Mus musculus: one gene and its partners. The protein of the gene in region 2 binds, or shares a complex with, the protein of the main gene of each other region. Links are inferred from orthologs where the notes say so. Each region holds a gene or a part of one and is shown on either strand. Other genes may lie near its edges. The genes, in order: Trpc5, Gnai3, Casr, Rgs2 and Rgs10.

The links.
Region 1: the proteins of Gnai3 (region 2) and Trpc5 are in contact, whole or in part, in a cryo-EM structure (PDB 8GVX), measured with the Homo sapiens proteins. The link is inferred for Mus musculus from reciprocal best matches to the Homo sapiens genes GNAI3 and TRPC5. Residues at the interface, in NP_006487.1 of Homo sapiens: Arg205, Arg208, Lys209, Trp211, Ile212, His213, Phe215, Glu216, Glu245, Leu249, Ser252, Asn256, Lys257, Trp258, Arg312; in NP_036603.1 of Homo sapiens: Thr27, Glu32, Glu33, Glu56, Ile57, Tyr58, Tyr59, Asn60, Lys125, Pro128, Thr129, Leu130, Met131.
Region 3: the proteins of Gnai3 (region 2) and Casr are in contact, whole or in part, in a cryo-EM structure (PDB 8SZH), measured with the Homo sapiens proteins. The link is inferred for Mus musculus from reciprocal best matches to the Homo sapiens genes GNAI3 and CASR. Residues at the interface, in NP_006487.1 of Homo sapiens: Ala31, Lys32, Gln304, Glu308, Lys314, Asp315, Thr316, Lys317, Glu318, Ile319, Tyr320, Thr321, Phe334, Asp337, Ala338, Thr340, Asp341, Ile343, Ile344, Lys345, Asn347, Leu348, Glu350, Cys351, Gly352, Leu353, Tyr354; in NP_000379.3 of Homo sapiens: Lys644, Ala645, Asn647, Arg701, Val702, Val705, Phe706, Ala708, Lys709, Pro711, Thr712, Arg716, Trp719, Phe801, Ile869, Val872, Arg873, Thr876, Ala877, Ala880, Phe881, Lys882, Val883, Ala884, Ala885, Arg886.
Region 4: the proteins of Gnai3 (region 2) and Rgs2 are in contact, whole or in part, in a crystal structure (PDB 2V4Z), measured with the Homo sapiens proteins. The link is inferred for Mus musculus from reciprocal best matches to the Homo sapiens genes GNAI3 and RGS2. Residues at the interface, in NP_006487.1 of Homo sapiens: Val179, Lys180, Thr181, Thr182, Gly183, Ile184, Val185, Gln204, Ser206, Glu207, Lys209, Lys210, His213, Ala235, Glu236, Asp237, Glu238; in NP_002914.1 of Homo sapiens: Glu104, Phe105, Glu108, Asn109, Glu143, Ala144, Pro145, Glu147, Ile148, Asn149, Asp151, Phe152, Leu180, Asn183, Ser185, Arg188.
Region 5: the proteins of Gnai3 (region 2) and Rgs10 are in contact, whole or in part, in a crystal structure (PDB 2IHB), measured with the Homo sapiens proteins. The link is inferred for Mus musculus from reciprocal best matches to the Homo sapiens genes GNAI3 and RGS10. Residues at the interface, in NP_006487.1 of Homo sapiens: Val71, Val72, Ser75, Glu115, Val179, Lys180, Thr181, Thr182, Gly183, Ile184, Val185, Gln204, Ser206, Glu207, Lys209, Lys210, His213, Ala235, Glu236; in NP_001005339.1 of Homo sapiens: Glu62, Phe63, Ser64, Glu66, Asn67, Ala102, Ser103, Ser104, Gln105, Val106, Asn107, Val108, Glu109, Gly110, Leu137, Lys139, Tyr140, Asp141, Ser142, Arg145.

The regions. Positions count from the first base shown.
Region 1 is NC_000086.7:144,380,680-144,384,189, forward strand, and holds part of Trpc5 (short transient receptor potential channel 5), read right to left. Parts: intron 2,515-3,510; coding exon 1,819-2,514; 3' UTR 1-1,818. UniProt on the Homo sapiens protein: Forms a receptor-activated non-selective calcium permeant cation channel. Mediates calcium-dependent phosphatidylserine externalization and apoptosis in neurons via its association with PLSCR1.
Region 2 is NC_000069.6:108,143,353-108,147,644, forward strand, and holds the start of Gnai3 (guanine nucleotide-binding protein G(i) subunit alpha), read right to left. Parts: upstream 2,801-4,292; 5' UTR 2,654-2,800; coding exon 2,536-2,653; intron 1-2,535. UniProt on the Homo sapiens protein: Heterotrimeric guanine nucleotide-binding proteins (G proteins) function as transducers downstream of G protein-coupled receptors (GPCRs) in numerous signaling cascades.
Region 3 is NC_000082.6:36,513,630-36,517,139, reverse strand, and holds part of Casr (extracellular calcium-sensing receptor precursor), read left to right. Parts: intron 1-1,379; coding exon 1,380-1,686; intron 1,687-2,618; exon of another isoform or gene 2,619-2,625; coding exon of another isoform or gene 2,626-2,667; intron 2,668-3,510. UniProt on the Homo sapiens protein: G-protein-coupled receptor that senses changes in the extracellular concentration of calcium ions and plays a key role in maintaining calcium homeostasis.
Region 4 is NC_000067.6:144,001,340-144,005,613, forward strand, and holds the start of Rgs2 (regulator of G-protein signaling 2), read right to left. Parts: upstream 2,811-4,274; 5' UTR 2,780-2,810; coding exon 2,670-2,779; intron 1,715-2,669; coding exon 1,613-1,714; intron 1,503-1,612; coding exon 1,441-1,502; intron 944-1,440; coding exon 777-943; intron 536-776; coding exon 341-535; 3' UTR 1-340. UniProt on the Homo sapiens protein: Regulates G protein-coupled receptor signaling cascades. Inhibits signal transduction by increasing the GTPase activity of G protein alpha subunits, thereby driving them into their inactive GDP-bound form.
Region 5 is NC_000073.6:128,415,372-128,419,421, forward strand, and holds the start of Rgs10 (regulator of G-protein signaling 10), read right to left. Parts: upstream 2,802-4,050; 5' UTR 2,744-2,801; coding exon 2,695-2,743; intron 1-2,694. UniProt on the Homo sapiens protein: Regulates G protein-coupled receptor signaling cascades, including signaling downstream of the muscarinic acetylcholine receptor CHRM2.

The DNA of each region.
Region 1 (3,510 bases), on a different chromosome or scaffold from region 2:
TTGGATTTGAATAAATGAGCACTTCAGATAAGATAGATTATTTTGGAACAAACCCTTGCCAGCCAAATGGATGCTGATGGATCTTACTCTCCTAGTTCCTTTTTCTGGGTATCTGAGTTGTATCCAGCAGCACTTCCTGCCTCCCTTGCCCCTAATTTGGCTCATCTCCACATGAAACATTTTCCCCCTCATTCACCAATGCTAGGGATAGAGATGGAAAGTCAGTTTGACTTAAACTACTCTGTCAAAAGCAAGCTTGCAGACACATTTACATTGTTTCACAGTTTCCCCCTTCACCTCTAGCAGACATCACAAAAATGTGAAGGAGTCCTTGGTGGTGGTGACCTTTAAAAAGACCAAGTGGTACTCAACAGCCTTCTTTAACGTTTCTGCCATAGACATTGTTAATCTCTACAAGCCGAGCATATGTTGGTAAACCCATGTTTGCTCAGCTGTTTGGTGGGTCTCAGTTCTAAGGTGATTACCATCCGCAAACTAGCTTCATTTTTAACTTATATTCGGATTAAGTACTCCTTGCCTATGGGAAAGAATTGGAATGTATAACTGCAGCTTTCTTGGAAGGCAGAACTTAGACCACAAGTATAGTTCTACAAATCCACTAGGATTATTATGTTCTATATCCAAGAGCTCATACATGTGCTTTCCACTGTCCCCCAGTAGATACTGCAGCTGCAATCTGAATTCAGTTATCTGAACCTACATTTGTATCTGTTGGGTTTTCTTTCCAGAAAGCAATTAATTAAATTGAGGTGCATTTTCCCCCCAAATTTTAACACCTCAATAAATTGTCATTTTTCTGATAAAAATATTTCAAATCCAGACTTTAATCTTAGAAATGCTTTTATATCAATGATGATTAAAACTATCCACAGTAGATAGGACCCTATAAATATACCAACTAATTATTTTTCTTGCCAATGTATGAGATGTAGTAACTATTAGTTAAAGTACAGTAAAAGTTTTTTTTTTTTGAAAAAAGTACACATCCTAAATACTAGTTTTGATACTCTCAAATTTTAAGGTATGGTAAGTTAACCGAAATATACAAACACAGGAAATTAGCTAACTTATTATGTGGTACGCACTGTACAGTAAATATCTCATTGCTACACGTTAAGAAACTAACACACATTTACGAAACAAAACCTCTACAGTCCCCACAATTAGTACTTGTAGTGTTTAAAAACGGAACGGAAAGGCCAGTTCTACCTAGAAACCACAAGCTGACAATTCTTTGGAGTCTCCCTTTAATGCTGTTCATCGGACCAGCATGGGCAGCGTGTAGCACTGAAGAGCAACGAAGACAGGCAGGTTGATTAGCCTTATCTGATAGCTGGTAGGGACTGCTGACCGTAGCCCTCAGCTCTGTGGGGAGATGGGTGTGAGATCCTGAGGCATGTCAGGAATCTATGCGGCAGCTATGGTAGCAAAGTGGCACCTGGAGCTTCAAGGAGGCAAGGGTGAACAAAGCAAAGCAAAGGGGTTAAAGCACCCGACCGCACCTCTGCTCATTAGGGGCAGGACCCCTTCAGTTGCTTTTGAGATGGATTTAGTATTTATAGATATAAAAAGGCAAATGATAATGACAGTGAAACAAAACATGAAGAATGTGGCTAGAAAAGACTGAAAGTAATAGGAGTTTCACTCCTTGGTGTGTGTGTGTGTGTGTGTGTGTGTGTGTGTGTGTGTGTGTGTGTGTGTTGGGGACAGGGAGGGAACCAAATTTGGGGTCACCTCTGAGAACAGGGAAATTACAAATATTCTCTTGAATTCCAGAATAGATGACGGGGATTTGACTTAGAGCCGAGTTGTAACTTGTTCTTCCTGTCCATCACCCCATTTGTGCATGAGCAAGTCACAAGCCTCTCCCCAAGTTTCAAATACGTCCTCTGACGAGTCCAAAAGTTTCGAATTTGAGGAGCAGATGCCGGATGCACAGTGAAGGGAGCTGGAACAGGCTAGGGGGCACTCACTGCTCCGAGCAGCAGCCCCCCGGATTTCACCTAGCTCTACCTCGCCAAGGTTCATCTGACTTTGAGAACAGGCCTCTGCCTTCCCTTTCTCCATCTGAGAATAGCGGATGTCCTGCCACATACAATGCTGCTGTGCGATGCCATCAGAGATTGTGTACATTGGCTCCGAAGTAGGTTCAGATGTTTGACCATTGAACTTGGAGAAGAAGAGACCCAATTTCTTGAAAGACGGACCCATGAAGGACCGTTTGCTCGACGACTCGGATTTTGGCTTTCCTTGGGCGCCACTAGCTCTTGGCACGGTTCTGATGAGCGGTGCACCGTGACAGGCCTTTTTCTTGCAGCCTACATTGAAAGAGACACTCTTAGACTTGGCCCGAGCCCCACCACTGCCGTCATTGGTATCATCCCTTTGAGAGAAATCAGCACTGCTGGTGGAGAGGCTTCTTCTTGGATGTTTCCTGTTTCCCAAGAGGTCAAGCACTTCATATCGAAAGCTGGAAATGTCCTGCTTTAATTCCTAGAGAGAGAGAGAGAGAGAGACAGAGAGAGAGAAGGGGGGAGGAGACATGTTTTATCAGAAAAAAAGTTGTCTTTAGTTTAAAGAAGACACTCAAGAGTTTTGCATCGGCTAAGTCGTACCTAGTAATAAATCATGAGGCACACATTATACTTTTCAAAATCTTCCATTAGTCAAGCACAGAAAGACTATTCGGTCACAACTGGAAAAATTACACAGTGCTAAGGTTGATTACAGAACCTCTGGACAATAACATGAACTAATAGCTAGTAACGTGGTAACTGGCCTGGAGAAAATGGCTTAGTGGTTAAGAGCACTGGCTGACTGCACAGATGACCCGGGTTCAATTTCCCAGCACTCACATCACACCCATGTCACACCCACCTCACAACTGTAACTCTAGTTCTACGGGACCCGACACCCTGTTTTGACCTCTACCTACACCAGACATACAGGTGGTACACATGCATATATGTAGGCAAACATACTTACAGGCAAAGCACCCATACACCCAAAATTTTAAAAAGAAAGTGGTAACTGACAGTTGAACTATTAGAGTACTTGCCCTTGTGAAGTGTCTCTAAGTTAAACTATTAGAGTACTTGCCCTTGTGAAGTGTCTCTAAGTTAAACTATTAGAGTACTTGCCCTTGTGAAGTGTCTCTAAGTTAAACTATTAGAGTACTTGCCCTTGTGAAGTGTCTCTAAGTTAAAGGACAACTGCAGAGGCAAAGACAGTTAGGGTCCAGGAAGGAAACTGAAGAAGTGTCAGGTGACGAGGCTACTGCTTTGGGATGGGGCAGGGAGTGTGTGTGTTGGGGGAGCAGTCATACAAATGCATATGAATTGCCTTCTCTCCAGTTGTTTGCGTACCACTAACTTGCTCCTTTACAAACCATCTTTCCAAAGCTTAAAGCCAAAGCACGTTATCCTCCTGCTTAAAATATCTTAGTAATGTCACTGTCACAGGAAACACAATAAATGCCATATTACATAC
Region 2 (4,292 bases):
AAATTCTACTTAAAGAAATATCATGAAATATCATTTTTAGAATTATTAATTTTATGTGTCTGGATGTTCAATCTGCATGTACGTTTATGTACAGATGGTTGTGAGCCGTGTGGGTACTGAGAACCTAATGCAGGCCCCATGTAAGAACAGCAAGTGCTTGTGACTGTTAGACATGTCTCTAGTCCCATGAGAGATCGTTTTAACTTCACATATGCATCATGACACAGCTCAGGTAAGACCAGCTGTTTCCGCAACTACTTCATCTTACTGGTTTAATTTGCTCAAAATACCGTCATAAAAAATCCTGAGAGTGGGAAAAAAGTTTCATGGTGTGGTACATACCTACAATCTCAGCTACAGAATCTCATGAATTTTGAGGCCAATATTGTCTCAAAACAAAAAACCTTTTTTAAAAAAGCTAGTAAATATTAAAAACAAATCAGTATTTTGACTTTTACTTAAACTTTTCAAATTCTGTAAGCTATCCTGCATTTAATTTTAATTTTTTTTTTTTTAATTAAAGGAACTAAAGACCCTGAGTAAAGATTTTTCCAGGTACTTGGATAGTTCTGCTTACCCAAGTTTTTCCAGTGGTCAATATAGATCAAATCCCAGAATATGAGAATGCATCTTTGATTTCACATTTGATTCTTACAAAAAATGTTAATGTCACTGGTGTGCTGATAGATGCTGCAATCCCAGCAATTGGGAAGCCAGCTGCAGGAGGATGGAGAACAGAAGGCCGGACTAGGCTGCAGAATGACACTGTCTGAAAACAGCAATTAGGCTAGGGGAGAACACTGACAAGGGTTGTGTTTTACACCAGACTCTGAAAGGCCCCCAGGAACTAACATTCAGCATGAACTTGTCTTTAAAAAAAAAAAACAAAAACAAAAAAAACACTGATTGGTTAACAGTAAATACTTAAGTCCCTGCTAAGTACCAGAAACCACGTTCATCCACAAAAGATACCTATTATCGGCCATCACTGGAAAGAGAGGCCCATTGGACTTGCAAACTTTATATGCCCAAGTAGAGGGGAATGCCAGGGCCAAAAAGTGGGAGTGGGTGGGTAGGGGAGTGGGGTGGAGGGTATGGGGGACTTTTGGGATAGCATTGGAAATGTAAATGAGGAAAATACCTAATAAAAATATTTTTAAAAAGATACCTATTATACAGGCACTGGCAGTCCAGAGCTATGCTATGAATTCTTATCCTTTGGAAGCTCAAACTCCACTGCATAACGTTTTCTTTATATTCAAGCTGCCGCTCAGAGCTTCCAAAATATATAAGCAAGCAGCCAGCCCATCTTAAAGCACGAAGTCAGCCTAAGATTATGGCAGTGGTGTCCGTCCTCTGGAGCTCTACAAAGTGAAATTAGTGCTCTAAAGTGACCTTTCGGGACGGTATTTATCTAAAAAGCTCTGCTGCTTCCAGAACCTGTGACTTATTCGTAATGATTCTCATCTAACAGATTCCTCAAAGATATAAATAATGAATACAGCTGGATTTACTGGTAAGCTAATGCGAGAGAAGTTTATATGATTTACTGGGCCTATCAAAGTTTAAAACGAAATTATCCTGACTGAAACATGTCTGACTAGAGATAAAAAAGCCCACTTGAGTATAAGACAACACGGTGTTTGTAGTCTGAAAGCCAATACATACTTTTATTTTGAAAAACCCAATTAAAAAAAAAAATCAACCCCTCCCAAATAGATCACAATCTCTACAATAAATCTGCCCCAGTCCATATGTTATCCTCTACTATTCCCGACACACATGGTCCCACTGTCCTCTACCCCAAACCTCAAAAATGGCATTCTTTCAATTTCCTCAGCTCACACCATCCCTAGCCCTTTAATTTAAAAAAGGAATCACGGAAGCTCAAGAGAATTTAAAAAAAAAAAAGAGAGAGAGAGAGATTTTAAAAAAAAGTTGAAAAAAGTATTAGTGGCCTCTGCACCCAAGGTCTTTTCTTTTATACCTAAGAACCTGTCATTTATTTCAACCGCCTCCTGGGTGTTCCTGGACAACCCACCTCACTAACAGCACAAAAAGACTTGCGAGCAAGTTCTTTATGTGACCCTCTCTGTACTAGCTTCGCTATTTAATCATTCAATCCTTCCAGCTTTATCCTGACATCAAGTATCAAACTCACACAAACCCTAGACAGGCCCCACCAGACACCATACACTATCCTCCTCAACACGTTCCAGCCCAGTGTGAACCCTCCCTAATTTCGGTCCCTCCCTTTAAGAGCCGTGCCCGGATTCCCAGCACAGTCTCGGGGCTCCAAACTCCCCAACTCTACTAAGTACCATCCCAGCCGGGTTACACCCTCTCCAACCTGAAATCCCCACGCCTTCCGGGGCCTCAGTCGCCAAGCCCAGTACCCGCCCCATTGCTGGGCATCCCCTCCTTGTCCCTTTGGGGTCCTCTCTGCCGGCCTTGGCCAGACCCCGATCAGCTCCGGCTGCTCCCGGGGCCGGGCTCTCCGGCTCCAGCGCTCCAGCTCCGCCCCCAGCCCCTCACCGAGCAGCAGCAGCTTCACTTCTTTGGCCGCTTTCTCCCCGTCCTCCCGCAAGTTGCGGTCGATCATCTTGCTCCGCTCCACCGCCGCCTTGTCCTCGGCGCTCAACGTGCAGCCCATGGCGGCGGCGGGAGAGGGGACCGGGCCCGGGCTCACTCACACACACCGCGGGAATCGCCACACACCGGCGGAGACGGGTCTTCTGCTGGGCGGTGGCCTTCTCCGTCAGCTCCCCTAGCTCCCGGAAGAACCGGATGTGTGCTGTTTACGACACTTCCGGCGACGCCCAGCGGCCGTTACTACTTAGAGCGCTGTGCCAGTGGGAGGCGGAGGTGGTACGGAGAGCGGAAGTTCCCTGGTACCTGACTGTCCCCGTGGAGTGATGGCGAGCCTTCGCTCCGCACCTCCCAGCCTTAATACCCTTTTACTTCTCCGGCTCCTGGACTTGGATTCCAAGTGTAGAAAAAGCGGGACTTCCAGCACGTGGTGTGCTCTGGAGGTTTGGCGGTGAGGATCAGATTCTCAAATGAGAGCTCACAGTCCTCTGGGAATTGCTGTTGGGAAAAGCCTCCCTCTCCAGAAAACAAACAAACAAAAAAACCTTTTTTCCTTTTCATCTGTGATTTGGAGCCCAGGTCTCTGTCCAGAGCCGCGTGTTGGGCACTTCAGCCAAAGTTCCCTCCGTCTGATCCTTGAGCTGCCCAGCCTGGATGTTCACCCATTCCTCTGGCTACACCCATTATGCCAAGTATATATTAGTCCTTCTGCTACAACGTATGGATTTCTGTGAGCTGTACATATGCCTGGCACTCCTATGTTGGCAAAGGATCACTCGACCGCATCAAGTAATAGAGAGTGAAAAATAGGTAGTAAGTATTAGAATATGAAACTAGGTGTAATTCATTTATAATATTTCCACGCTTCCCTTTCTTCCAGGTAAACCTGAGGACTTAGTTCCATACCCAGAAATAAACGAGCTAATCTCTAATCTAACAAGAGTTCCTCTGTGATAGCCACAGAAAGGGGGAAGTTTGGTAAAAGTTGTCTTTCTACTATCTCCTGAATATTGGCTCTGTGAAGAATATCCTAAAGTCCCTACTAAATAGACCCACAATGACTCAACACCCGTTTTAAGAAGGGGCATTTTTTTACAGCCATTGAAACATTTCCCTGGAATTTAAAACATTTCTCTAGTAGGAGGTAACTTAAGCTACAAATTCCCAAGAGAAAGGTCTATAGTGAAAATTAATTAATTAGAACCATCTAATTAGATTAACCTCGTCCACGTCACCCATAATGCTTGTCAATTCCAAGTCTGGAAAGTCTCCCACTCATTTCCAAAAGAAACTGCTTTTCCTTTCTGATCACTTCTAGGGGGGAAAGGGTCAAGAGGAAAGGGGGAAACACAACATTATTGAGTACCTTTTTGCCAGGTAGGCACTTCCATGTCTCATCTCTTAATCCTCACAACAACCCTGTGAGGTAGGTAATATTAATCCCCATTGTCGCCAATGAGAAAATGGGCTCAGAGGAATTCAGTCGCTTTCCCACGTCCACACAGTAAGTACATCTGTCTAGTTTCAACTTCACGCCCTCTTTCTACCAGACCTCTCTAGAAGGTATAGCTGGGAGACCCCTGACAACAGAGCATCTAAGGTTTTTGGATGGCAGTCACCTCGATACCAAGATGTTGGCAAAACTGGCAGGATGGATCATCTCACCCTGTTGCTTCCTCGGCTTGTAAGGGAGATTGTGTCCA
Region 3 (3,510 bases), on a different chromosome or scaffold from region 2:
GCAAAGCTTCAAGAAGGGACCCAGACTTCACCTTGAGCTTCATGATAGCTGGAAAGTGAAGGTCAACATTATCCCAACAAAACTAGATTTCTGTTTGTAAGGACAGCCAGGGACATTTTTCTCATGAATATGGAAAAAACTAAGTGTAAGACTGCGTCAAAGTTGACCATATCTTCATATGACCCACGTTGACAAGTGCTGCCCATGTTGCTCCTTACGGAACAGCCTTGCGGACGAACAAAATGCTTGCCCTGAAAATGTGTTAACGAGAGCAGAACCAGTTGAGCAGTGTTTTGTTTTGTTTTGTTTCTTAATAAAAATAACATTTAATGAATATTTTAAAAAATAATCTAGTATCTCCCAATAACCTTACAAGTTTGAAGCAACTATGTGGTGAAAGAAACATAAAGAGATATGGAAATTTTTACATCCAAGGTTAGACTAAGAGTTCTGGAAACCTGACTAGACAGTAGAATGCAATGGAACAGATTTCCCCTCCTGTCGATAAGTCTGAGTTGGGCCCACAACTCAGAGGAGGAGGAGCCAGCCTCTCTTGATGGCTTTTCTGCTGGACCCCGATTTGCTGAGTCAGCACATTTATCTAGCCTTCACCATCCCAAGCTAGTAAGAAAACTGGCACTATTGATTTTTTTTTTTTTTTTTTGCTTAAAATAATGTTCTTTTAAAAGCAGCAATGGTCATATTTTTAAAGCAAAAATTATAAATTAGCCCAACACACAGAATTTTTAAGGCATCTCCTACCCCTTTTGTTTGCAGTTCTTTTAATACTTGATACTTATCTACAAAAGGATCGTCTCACTTTCTGCTTTAACCTCCAGGAATGTCACAATCTAAATTTGTGACAAATCCACAAATCTGAGGTTATTTTTAGGTTCCCACATACTAATATCCTCATCTATTTACAGTCCCCTGGTGCTTTTTTGGGGGGGGGGGGACTTGCTATGTAGCCCAGAACTGGCCTCAAACTCACAACCTTCCCACTCCAGCCTGATAATTATATACCACACAGGCATATATCACCGCACCTAGCCAAGCCTTCAGTTTGCACCTTCACACCCTCACACCAGCTACTGCAAAGTTTATGCTAGAGAATGCAGCAATAAATTATTCAACTAAATACCAATAACAGTCATTTTATTATTGTTCCCTAATTCAAAGGGAATGCACTGTGCTGAGAATTTTTACCAATCTCCTGACATCTTTAAAGGCAGCCTAATAGGAAAGTGTCGTTCCTGTATTTACATGGAGGACCTTGAGCACATCACAAAACCAAAGGGTAATAGAGCCAAGATTCAAGCCCAGCTCTGACAGTCCTCACTCCAACAGGGTCTTCCACTGAGTCCATGTCTGTCTTCCAGGTATAACTTCCGTGGATTCCGATGGTTACAAGCCATGATCTTTGCCATAGAGGAGATAAACAGCAGCCCCGCCCTTCTTCCCAACATGACTCTGGGATATAGGATATTCGACACCTGTAACACCGTCTCCAAGGCTCTGGAGGCCACCTTGAGTTTTGTTGCCCAGAACAAAATCGATTCTCTGAACCTGGATGAGTTCTGCAACTGCTCCGAGCACATCCCTTCAACCATCGCAGTGGTGGGAGCAACCGGCTCCGGTGTCTCCACAGCGGTAGCCAACCTGCTGGGACTTTTCTATATCCCCCAGGTAATGCTACCTTCCTTCCTAAGACTTATTTTTATTACTTTAAATTATGTGTGTGTTTAAATATGTGCACAAGTGCAGATGCCTTCAGAGGCCAGAGGTGTCAGATCTCCTGGAGCTGGAGTTGCATGTGGTTGTGAGCCACCCAGCATAGGTCCTGGGAACCGAACTCAGGTTCTCTGAAACAACAGTACAACCATTTAACCTCTGAGCTATCCTCCACCCAAGTGACATCTCCTTAGATAAGCAACAGACTCAGGGAGCAGGAGAAACAGGTTTGAAGAGTTGCATGCTAGCAGTATCCTCTGGGGCTTTCCATAGACACAAAAGTAAGTGGGCACTGTTATCAGGAGCACTTGGGGTCTCTGTGACCTTTATGCCAATGAGACCGTCACTGTTCTTCCAATATTCTTTGTTTGTTTGTTTGTTTGTTTGTTTGTTTTGTTTTTTGCTTTTTGGTTTTTTTTGTTTTTTTGTTTTTTTGTTTTTTTCGAGACAGGGTTTCTCTGTATAGCCCTGGCTGTCCTGGAACTAACTTTGTAGACCAGGCTGGCCTCGAATTCAGAAATCCACCTGCCTCTGCCTCCCGAGTGCTGGGATTAAAGGTGTGCACCACCACGCCTGGCTTCCAATATTCTTTTCAAAATAACTCTAGCGTATATAACTCCACCTTTTTTCTCACTGTCATTTCCCATTCACTCCTTTAGCAGCTGGCCTTCTATTTTTACCAAAAGAAATAAGATCCTATGATGTAAGTCTCAAATCAAAATCAAATAAAAAATATTGGCCCCTTATTCTTTTTCCTCAAAGTCTCTTTTTCCCTATTTTCAGCTTTCGTTCAGGGGGAAATAAAGCCTGCTTCCCCATAATAGAGGAGCTTAATCACTGTGTCTGAAATGGAGCATACCTTAATATTCCCCAACAAATATTGACAGAGTGTATATGAACAGTCTCCATCCTGCAGGAACTCAGCCTAGGCGGGAGGTGGGTGCATTTTCAAATACTAATCAATCACCAGAGCAATTATTTTATAAGCATTGGTTCAAAGTTGTATTCCACTTCTCCCACAGCAAACTCTAAATGCCATTTTATTGCCTGATTTCTTCCTTTGGCACTATGGCTTATCAAGTCAATCTTTCTTTGGATTAATAACTACAGATCTATTACATCACTTTGTCACAGTGAAAATTGCAAGTAGCTTAAACATCTCTGGATAAGAAAATAGATAGAATCAGCTTGGTTGTGATATGGCCTTCAATTGTAAATTAAATTAAGGACCAGAGTTCAATTTTTTTCAGTGTTTAATATTCAAAACAATATTCAAAATTCATATCAATAAATTTCCATTTCTCTTGTTGCAAAAGGTCTGCTTCTTTGCTGAGAGCCTTAATCCTTTGCAGACTCATAACAATAGAGGCATTCTTGTCTTACACTTCCAGAAAGTAAAGATGTTCCACACAGGAAAGACGTGGCTTTGTCATGTTTGTACCAAAATGCTCTGACCCCGTCAGCATTAGTCAATGTGCTAGGCATGTTTACATCTGGGAGCTGGTGAAACAGTATTTTAAAAGCACTGTGAAGGGGAGTCGTCAGCCCAGCGGTAGAGGAAGGAAATGACATCAGGTAAAGAGCAGGAGGAGAGAGCTTCTCTTCTGCATGGCTAGAAGACAAGAAGGATATGATTGATCAAAGTGGTAAGGAGACTGCAGCTGCCCGGGTCTGGTGGAACTCACACCTTGAAACCCCGCAGGTGGAGCTCTGTGATTTTGCGATCAGACTGCTCTACAGCATGGGCGGGCTACAAAGTGATACTCTGCCTCAACTTAC
Region 4 (4,274 bases), on a different chromosome or scaffold from region 2:
ACATAATCCCAGACCTATTGATTTTAAATGCTCCAACAACATTGCATCGGATCTTTCATCTCAAACTCTGCTTTCCCGACAAGGAGGAAGAACACATTCAGAGGCCTGTTCCCTCCCTCTGTTCTTCACACAGTGAGGGAAGCCGTTCTCACACAGAGCCTCTCCTAGGTTGCTGACTTCCTGATTCACTACCCAACATTGAATCAATAGTTCTGAGCGATGTTTTCCTAACACTCAGGCTGAATTCAAGGTCAGTTTTTTTTTTTTTTCTGGCAGGTCACAGCCTTTGCTCTTGGGAGACAGAATGGAATGTCCTTTGTGTGTGGGGGGACTCCTGGTCTCATGTAGCATGGGGCTCCGTGGTGATCTGTGGCTTTTTACATAAGTCCTGGTAGAATTCGGACTCCAAGAACCGAGGATAAGAATTGTTCTCCATCAAACTGTACACCCTCTTCTGAGCTGTGGTGAAGCAGCCACTTGTAGCCTCTTGGATATTTTGGGCAATCAGAGATTTCGTTTGGAAGTCTATGTTTATCTGAAAGAACAAAACAAAAGTCCATTTATTGGCTAGTCAACACTGCAGATTGATGCTTAATAATAAAACATAAAGGTGTAACTTGTGATCAGTTATAACTGTCAACTTTGGAGAAACTTAAATGTTAGGACAGCTGGGATGAGAGGCGCACAGGGCTCTTCTCACTTGTGCTTGAATGTGGTGTATTCAAGTCTCAGGTTTCAACAGTGTTGAAGGTGATCTGAGGCGCCTGTCTTCTTACCTCTTTGGGAGCTTCCTTCTCTATGAAGTCGGTATAGATTTTCCTTGCTTTTGAGGACAGTTTTTGGGGTGATTTGGTTTTTTTGAAGTCTTCACAAGCCAACCAGAATTCAATGTTTTCTTCACAGAACTCGGACTTTAAAAACGCCCTGAATGCAGCCAGCCCATCTGGAAGCACAGGAAAAGCAGCATGAATGGAACGACCGAATTATACACAGTTCTTCTGCACAAAATGATCAGTTTCCTAGACTTCATTCAAGCCTGTCATTCTCTAGGTCTGGCTCTTTAAGCACTAAGATGCCAGTAGGCAAAAATGCTTAAGTTTGTAGTCTGCAACAAAAGTATACTTAACTTCACTGGCACTGCAAGACCAGTGTTTATAGGCCATAAGTTCACTAGGAACTAGGGCTTTTGAAAATATTCTATGCAATGGAAAAGCTGACTCAACCACAGCCTGAGTAACTGGCATTTTAATTTTTAGGCTAACTTTTCTTCCCCACCTGAGGTGAATACCTCTTGCTTCCCCATGATTAAACCCAGTGATATAAGGGAAAGAAAAAGAGGCTTTGAACTGTCAGTGGTGGTAATGTCTAATGCACTTCTTGCAATCATTTCTAGGCTTTTAAAGATACTGGTGAGAGATCACATTCAAGAGGTGAACTTACATTTACTGGCCAGCAGTTCATCAAATGCTTCTGCCCAGAGCTGCGCTTCCTCAGGAGAAGGCCTGCAAGAGAAGTTCCGCAAATGAGCTCCCCAACACACATCAGTTCCCCTTCCCCTTTTGCTTGGCTTGGTTAGATATTCATCTCTGTAACTACAGGATCCGAAACTTACTTGATAAAAGTTTGCTGTTTGCTTTTCTTGCCAGTTTTGGGCTTCCCAGGAGCAGAGGAATTCTGCAAGAAGTAGCTCAAACGGGTCTTCCAATCCTTTAAGCTGGAAAAAAAAAGAGAGAAAAAAAAAATACTTCAAGTGGCAATTCTTGAACGGTCAAACTATCATCAGCTGCAGTAGCTACAAACAAAGCAGATGAGTCTCTCCCTCTTAGCTTTTAAACCCAGCACCTCAGAACACAGTTTTATCCATTCATCCGACTATAATGAGCTTTACAAGCAGGATAGGACTACATAACAGCCAGGGTATTTTAAATTTTCACCAGTTATTTCTGACCTAATAAACAGGTAGTGGATTTTCTGCATGGTTAAACTACAGCTTGCTGTCATTTTTCAATTGAGAACAGCAGTCTTGACCCAGCTGATGTTTCTTCCCTTTCTGCACTGGGGGTAGGAGGGTCTGCACTATGCCAGAGACAATGCATAGGTGTGTGTGTGTGTGTGTGTGTGTGTGTGTGTGTGTGTGTGTGTGTGTGATGGATTCCCTAGCTCCCCTCTGCGACCGCCCACAGTGCTTCTCCGCAGCAGATACTGCAGAGCAAATTACTCATTCCATAGTCGTGACTGGGTGAGCCCTACTTTATGATTTAAAAATGGATCTCATACATTGCGAATCAACTCAAACATCTCCACCCAGCAGCTATGCAAGCAGCTCAGAACTAACAATGCAACGTCCAGACGCCGGTGGACGTTATTCAGCTACAGGATTCTGATGCCACATTAAATGCAGAACAAAAAGCCAACCAGCCCTTCTCAGATCATCTACCGCCACCTTCTTCAACCATTTCCTATAGTTCCTAAACTCTCGGAGCTCACATAGAAAAAAAGCAAATACCACCATATCTAGCAAGCTAACCCCCCACCCCCCAAGCCCCCACACTTTCTCTGCAGAGGTGCAGACTAGAGAGCATTCAAAGCCGAGATCGAGGGAAGGTAGGTCCCTAGCAGCAAAGCCAGGCTGGGTATGAAGAGCTCTTCGGGAGACAGGGCATACTCACAGTGTCCGCTTCATTTTCTCCCGCTTCTCCTCGACCTTGGGGCCGTTGCCTGCACTCTTGTCCATGGGTACGCAGTCGTGCTGGACAGCCAGGAACATGGCACTTTGCATTCTCAGACTCCCGCGGCCACCGCAGCTGTTTGAGGCCGGGAGCGCGCCGCGGGCTTTTAAGGCGGGCGGCGGCATAGGGGCGGGACCTGGAGGCGTCAGCCACGCCCCAAGAGAGCGCGGATTGGCTCGCTGCAGACGGCACGAGGGCGGAGTCGCCCCGGCCTGTGGCAGTCACGGCAGCCCCCGAAGGGCCTGGAAGCGAGGGCGCTGTTGACGTAGGCGCCGCATCCTCGTGCGCACACAGGGTGGGAGGTGGCGGGCGGGGACACAGAGAGATTTGGTAGGCACTTCGGGCAGCCACGCGGTGAAGGGTCTCCGAGTTCTTGGCTTTTCCTTTACTGAAGACCGTACCTTTTACTCGTGTGCGTGTGTGTGTGTGTGTTCGCGCGCGCCCCACCTTTGTATCTATTGTTCATCCGGACACCCATAAACTGCAGCTGGGATGGGGAGAGCCCTGCTGGCTGCACTCAGCAACTCTACCTATTTTAGAGAAGGAAATCAAACAACTAGAAAAACCTGAAATATGGACTGTTGAGTAAGGTGCTGTAGCTCGCTCAGGCACCTTGGAATTCCTAAAGGGAATTCCACGCTACTCAGGGAGGAAGCGGGAGAAAGTTTCTATTAAAACCTGGTGTTTTAACCAGTTCTGCAGTTTTGATCTTTAAATGCATGGCTGCAGCAGGCTGTGGCTTTGCAGGGTCGTTCCCCAGGAGACCCGAGGGGCATCTCCTGCGGGGCACAGCAAAGATCAGAGAGATAGGTGAGAAATACAAAGGGAAACCCAGGATCTCGCAGTTCTGCTGCACACGGATCATGTGTAGTTTCAGAGCGTAAGGAATCAGGATTTCCTCATGAGTCATTCACGGTTGAACAGATTTAGGAATTACTAGATGTTCAACTGCTTAAGTTAAGGTGGCGGTGCAGTGGGGGCTAGAGCTAGATGTGAGAGCCGGTTGGTGTAAAGAATTTGTTTGGGTAAGCTTCATTTGTGAGAACCCCTGTCTCTGCTCCTGCAGGGTTTAATAAGCCCTGATTTGTAAGAACTAATACATGACTTCAACTACAAACTGATTCAGCTTCCTATGTTACCAGAATGATGCGGCGGAATACCTAAGTGGTTTTCCCATAAAGTCTGAACAGACTAACAAAAAGGTACGGCTTAGGCTCTAGTTATTCTGATTCATACTAGATCTACTAAAAGGAAAATGAAGACCCATTCTCAAACTGGGAACCAAGCAACACATTGTGACAAGCTGAGGGTAGTTTGAGTCAGAGATCAAAGTCTGCAGTCGCTAATGAAGAAGATTGGTATAGCCTTATTATAGAAGGAATATCATTTCGATTTTAGCAACAAATACTTGATAGCATGCTTATGAATCTGTAAGATGAAATTTTTAATAAGCCGAAAAGATCTGCACTGTTTCTACATTTGCTTTAATTTCTGACGATTTAATACATATTTATTAAGCTTGTGTTAATAAAATAGTGTTGCTCG
Region 5 (4,050 bases), on a different chromosome or scaffold from region 2:
CTTGCTAAAAAACGAAGCTGTGACTCTTCCTGCTCCCCTTGGTTCCCCAAGATGGAACTGGGGTCTGACTTTTATCAAGGCCCCCTGCTTCCCCTACCTGATAGGCAGAACATAGAGCCTCCAACTGCGAACCTTAGAAACAGGTGGGGCTTCCAGCTCTCTACTTACAGATGCCATCTTTGATGAGATTTAACTCTTTCAGCCTCACATAGAATGCTCTGGGGGAGAGAGGCTTGCAGTCAAGCCCAGCCCAGGCTCCCGCAGGGGTACGGCCAGCTTTGGTGGGGCTTCAGTAGGATACTCTGGAAAACCTCTTTAAAAGCGAAGTTCAGGCGGGGTGTTGCTCTGGGGCAGGCCATTTGCCTACATATACAAGGCCTTGGGCACACCTCTAGCACCACAAGAAAAAAAAAAAAAAACATCAAAATTACCTTCTCCCAAATCCTTAACTGTCCTGCAGACGGCTTGCCTGCTGCACAGCATCTCTGTAAGGAGCCCTCACCCTCCCTCCTTTCTCACTTGGCTCCTTTTCTTGATGTTGGGTGGTGATGATAGTGACCAAACTGGCAGGGGCTCGTGTCCTTTCACAGGGCAGCAGAACTTATACCCACAGATTTCAAGGAAATTGGGCTCTGGCCATATAGACATCCAACACCAAGCACTGCTATTTCCCTGCTGGCCTTTGTATCACTGGTGTGGGCAAGCTTCATCAGGGTTAGTCTGTTGCCCTGGAACAGATACATGCTAGCAATGACTGTGAAACTGCCTTTCAGTTTGGGATTGCAATCTGGCCGTATGCAAAAGCATCCCAAATCCAGGTATCTGTCACAATTCAGTGGTTCTATTTGTATTATATTCTGGCCAAATATAATTTTAAGCAGCAAGCAACCTAGGCAAGGCTAGACGGAACTCCCCTACATGATGGAAAAAGAAAGAAAAGGAAACTAGTAAGCCCCACACCTTTATCATGTATCCAGCATTGCACTTGGGGCTTCTCAGGTTTAACTGCTGATCCTACTATTAGTAATGTAAGCATATCCTTATCAGAATTAAAACCTGTAGTTAATGGCTAGCAACACGGTTCAGTGGGTAAGGATGCTTACATCCAAACCTGACGGCTTGATTTTGACTACTGGGACCTATCGGTAGAAGAAAACTGATTTCCATAAGTCATCCTCTAACCTCCACATACAAGCTGTAGCATGCAAACACACATATGCACACACACACACACACAGAGACGCACACGAGCACACACATACACATGATAAATATGATCTAAAATAAAATTTAAGTATGTAGTTAAGTCCACAGCTTCCTGAAATCCACTGTTCCAGCCTTGATGTCTGACATATGTTGATATGTCCCACCACAGTTCATTTCAGTCCACCTATGACGTAGCAACCAGTTCCCAGATGCCCTGAACATTTAGCAATTGGTTCTTGCAAGCTACACTGAGCCAGCACCAGCACAGCTCTGCGGCACAGAAAGGTCCAAGGACATTCATTATTCAGTGTGGCGGAGTGGCAGAGTCAAGGTTGGAGTTTAACTCCGGTGCCTAGAATCTGACCACCACTCAGTGTCAGCCATCAGCATCACAAGGGAATGTGACCACTCGGGAACACTAATGGAGCATTTCAACGCATATTAAGACAACAGTGCAAACTCTTTACAATAACTCTATGGAATCTGACTTTAGTGGGGTTGTCTTAAATAATTAATGAAATGATTTGCATGTGGCTGATGGGGGGGGGGGAGTCTCCAATTAAGCACTTAAAGCTACCCTTTGCACATCCCCAGTCACAAAGAAGTTGCACAGCTGTCGAGTGGTGGCCAAGGGATTGGGTCTATGTCTGATTGCAGCCGCTTAACCACGTTTGATATTTACGTGAAAAGAGGAAACCGGCTAAAGCGTAGTGAATCTCTGGGCGACAGAAAAGCAAGCCTTTGAACCCCGAACCCAGAGTCAAGCAAATAAACCTACGTTTAAAAAAATCCATCAGCTAAGAGTAGAGCAGGTTACCCAACACCCTGGCTTTAGAGCCCCACCCCTCCGACGCGGCTGCTCTAATGGTGAAGACAAGAGAAAGCACACAAGGTGTCAACACAGCTCCTGGCCACAACCTAAGCCATCAAAGAGTGTTAGGTGTTATTAAGAACAAAAAGGATGGCACGATTCAAATCACCATTTCTGCACCGTGGGTTCTTTGTCTTGCCAAGTTGCCCCAAACTGTGGGTCAGGCAGGTTCAGGGGGAAAAACAAAGTGACTCCCCCGCCGTGTCACACAAGTTCCTCCCCCGCCCTGGTGTGCAGCCACCTTGGGACTCCACTTTTTTTGGCGCCGCGGGGCCGGCCACTCCGGGGATGCAGAGGTCCGGCGGAGCATCCTTCCCATTCCGCCCGAGAAAGAGGCTGCACGCAGGAGGGAAGCCTGGCTTCCCACGCTGCCTCGGAGTGAGGGGCTGTTAATGTGTCTCCCGTGGTTCCCAGACCTTCTCTAGAAAGAAAGCTGCTCTGACTCCCGCTTCAAGCCCAACTTCCTCCCCGGGCGGCTCCCCGGCTCTGCGCTCCCGCCGCGGCTGGGACAGAGCGAGCGGGGAGGAGCGCGGCTGCTGTCCGGGCGGCACAGCGAGCCGCGCCAGGGGACCCGGCGACCCCGTCCTTCCCGCGCCCAAGCGCCCGCAACCGCTTACCAGACGGCGGCCGCTTCCTGCTCAGTCGGCTCACGGCGCGGGTGAACATCGCCGCGGGCGTCCAGAGGACGGAGCAGCCGGGCAGCGCGGCGGCTAAGCCCGAAGAGGGCAAGGAGGAGGAGGAGCCCGCGCGACGCCGCCCCTCCAGGCTCCGCCCGCCGCCTCCTCCCCGCCGCGCTCCCCTCTCCCTGCCCACCCGCGCCCGTGGGCACTGGGTCCAGCCCTCAGTTACCCGCGCAGGGCAGGGCGCGGTGGCCCCGGGTGACCCTCAGCTCCCGCGCACATCCCGGTCCCTCCCCTCGCGGCCTGGAGACATACAGCGTTCGGTGTCCCTGCCAGGCCCGAGTCACCTCCCAGATCGCCCCCGGGTCTACCCGATTCCGTGGGCGCGCGGCCTGCTCACGCCGCGAATGCCCGGGAGGCGTCACCAGAGTCCCGAGCCAAGCCGCCGCGAGTGGGCGCCCACTCTGGCCCACGCCACGCCTGTGCCGGGGCTTCCAAGCCCCGGGACAAACCTCGGAGAACGCTGTCTGGAGCCTCTGCGGTTTCAGAGTGGATCTGAGCGCGCCAGCACATTTTTTAACTTGGACGACACTTGGGTGCAGTCTCAGGAGAACCTTTGCGCTCAACTACCGGAATCCTGTAGATCCCAGCGCCGGGCTCAACGCTCCTCCTGGTGCCAGTCACCTGCTCAGCGCCGCGCTCCACGCTCATCTAGTTTCCCATTTCTTTTTACCAAACAGCCCAAGAGGGGGGTGTCGTTAGCCCCATTTTCTTGAGCATTCGGTTTGCAAGGAATTGTCTTTCTGGCGAGTTTTATTTTTCTCCTTGTGGGTCTGGCTTTGTCTCGAAATTGGTCTTTATTTTTAGCTGTGCTAATTGCTATTTTTCTAAACCATTCCCCAGTCGCCCCCCCAACCCCCCGCGCGCGTTCTTTCGCAGGATTTTCACTAGTTGGCACTTTCCTTTATATCTTCTATTCTGAGCTTCCCATTTTGCTCTATTTTCCTCCCTTTTTGTCCACCCTGCAGTCCCAACGCCACCTCAGCCCTGGCCCTCTGTGGTTATTCACCATCTCTCTGCCTACCCTTCCCCACTCCATCATTTCCAAACACGGCCATTTGTGCTATCCAAAGAGGATGTTCCGTCCCCTGAAGGCTGCAGAGGTCTTCAGCTGCGGCTTGCAGGTGAGCACCATCAGTGTGGCTTCCAAGCCGGGGTTTCTGAATGTCTCCAGCTGCTATTGCCGCCCGCCCCCCCCCCAAGCTTCCTGGCCATTGAAATAGCTCTTGGGTCATAGGCTCTGTAAAAGCTGAGCCTAAACCGACACAGACACAGACATAATGGTGCTCTCCT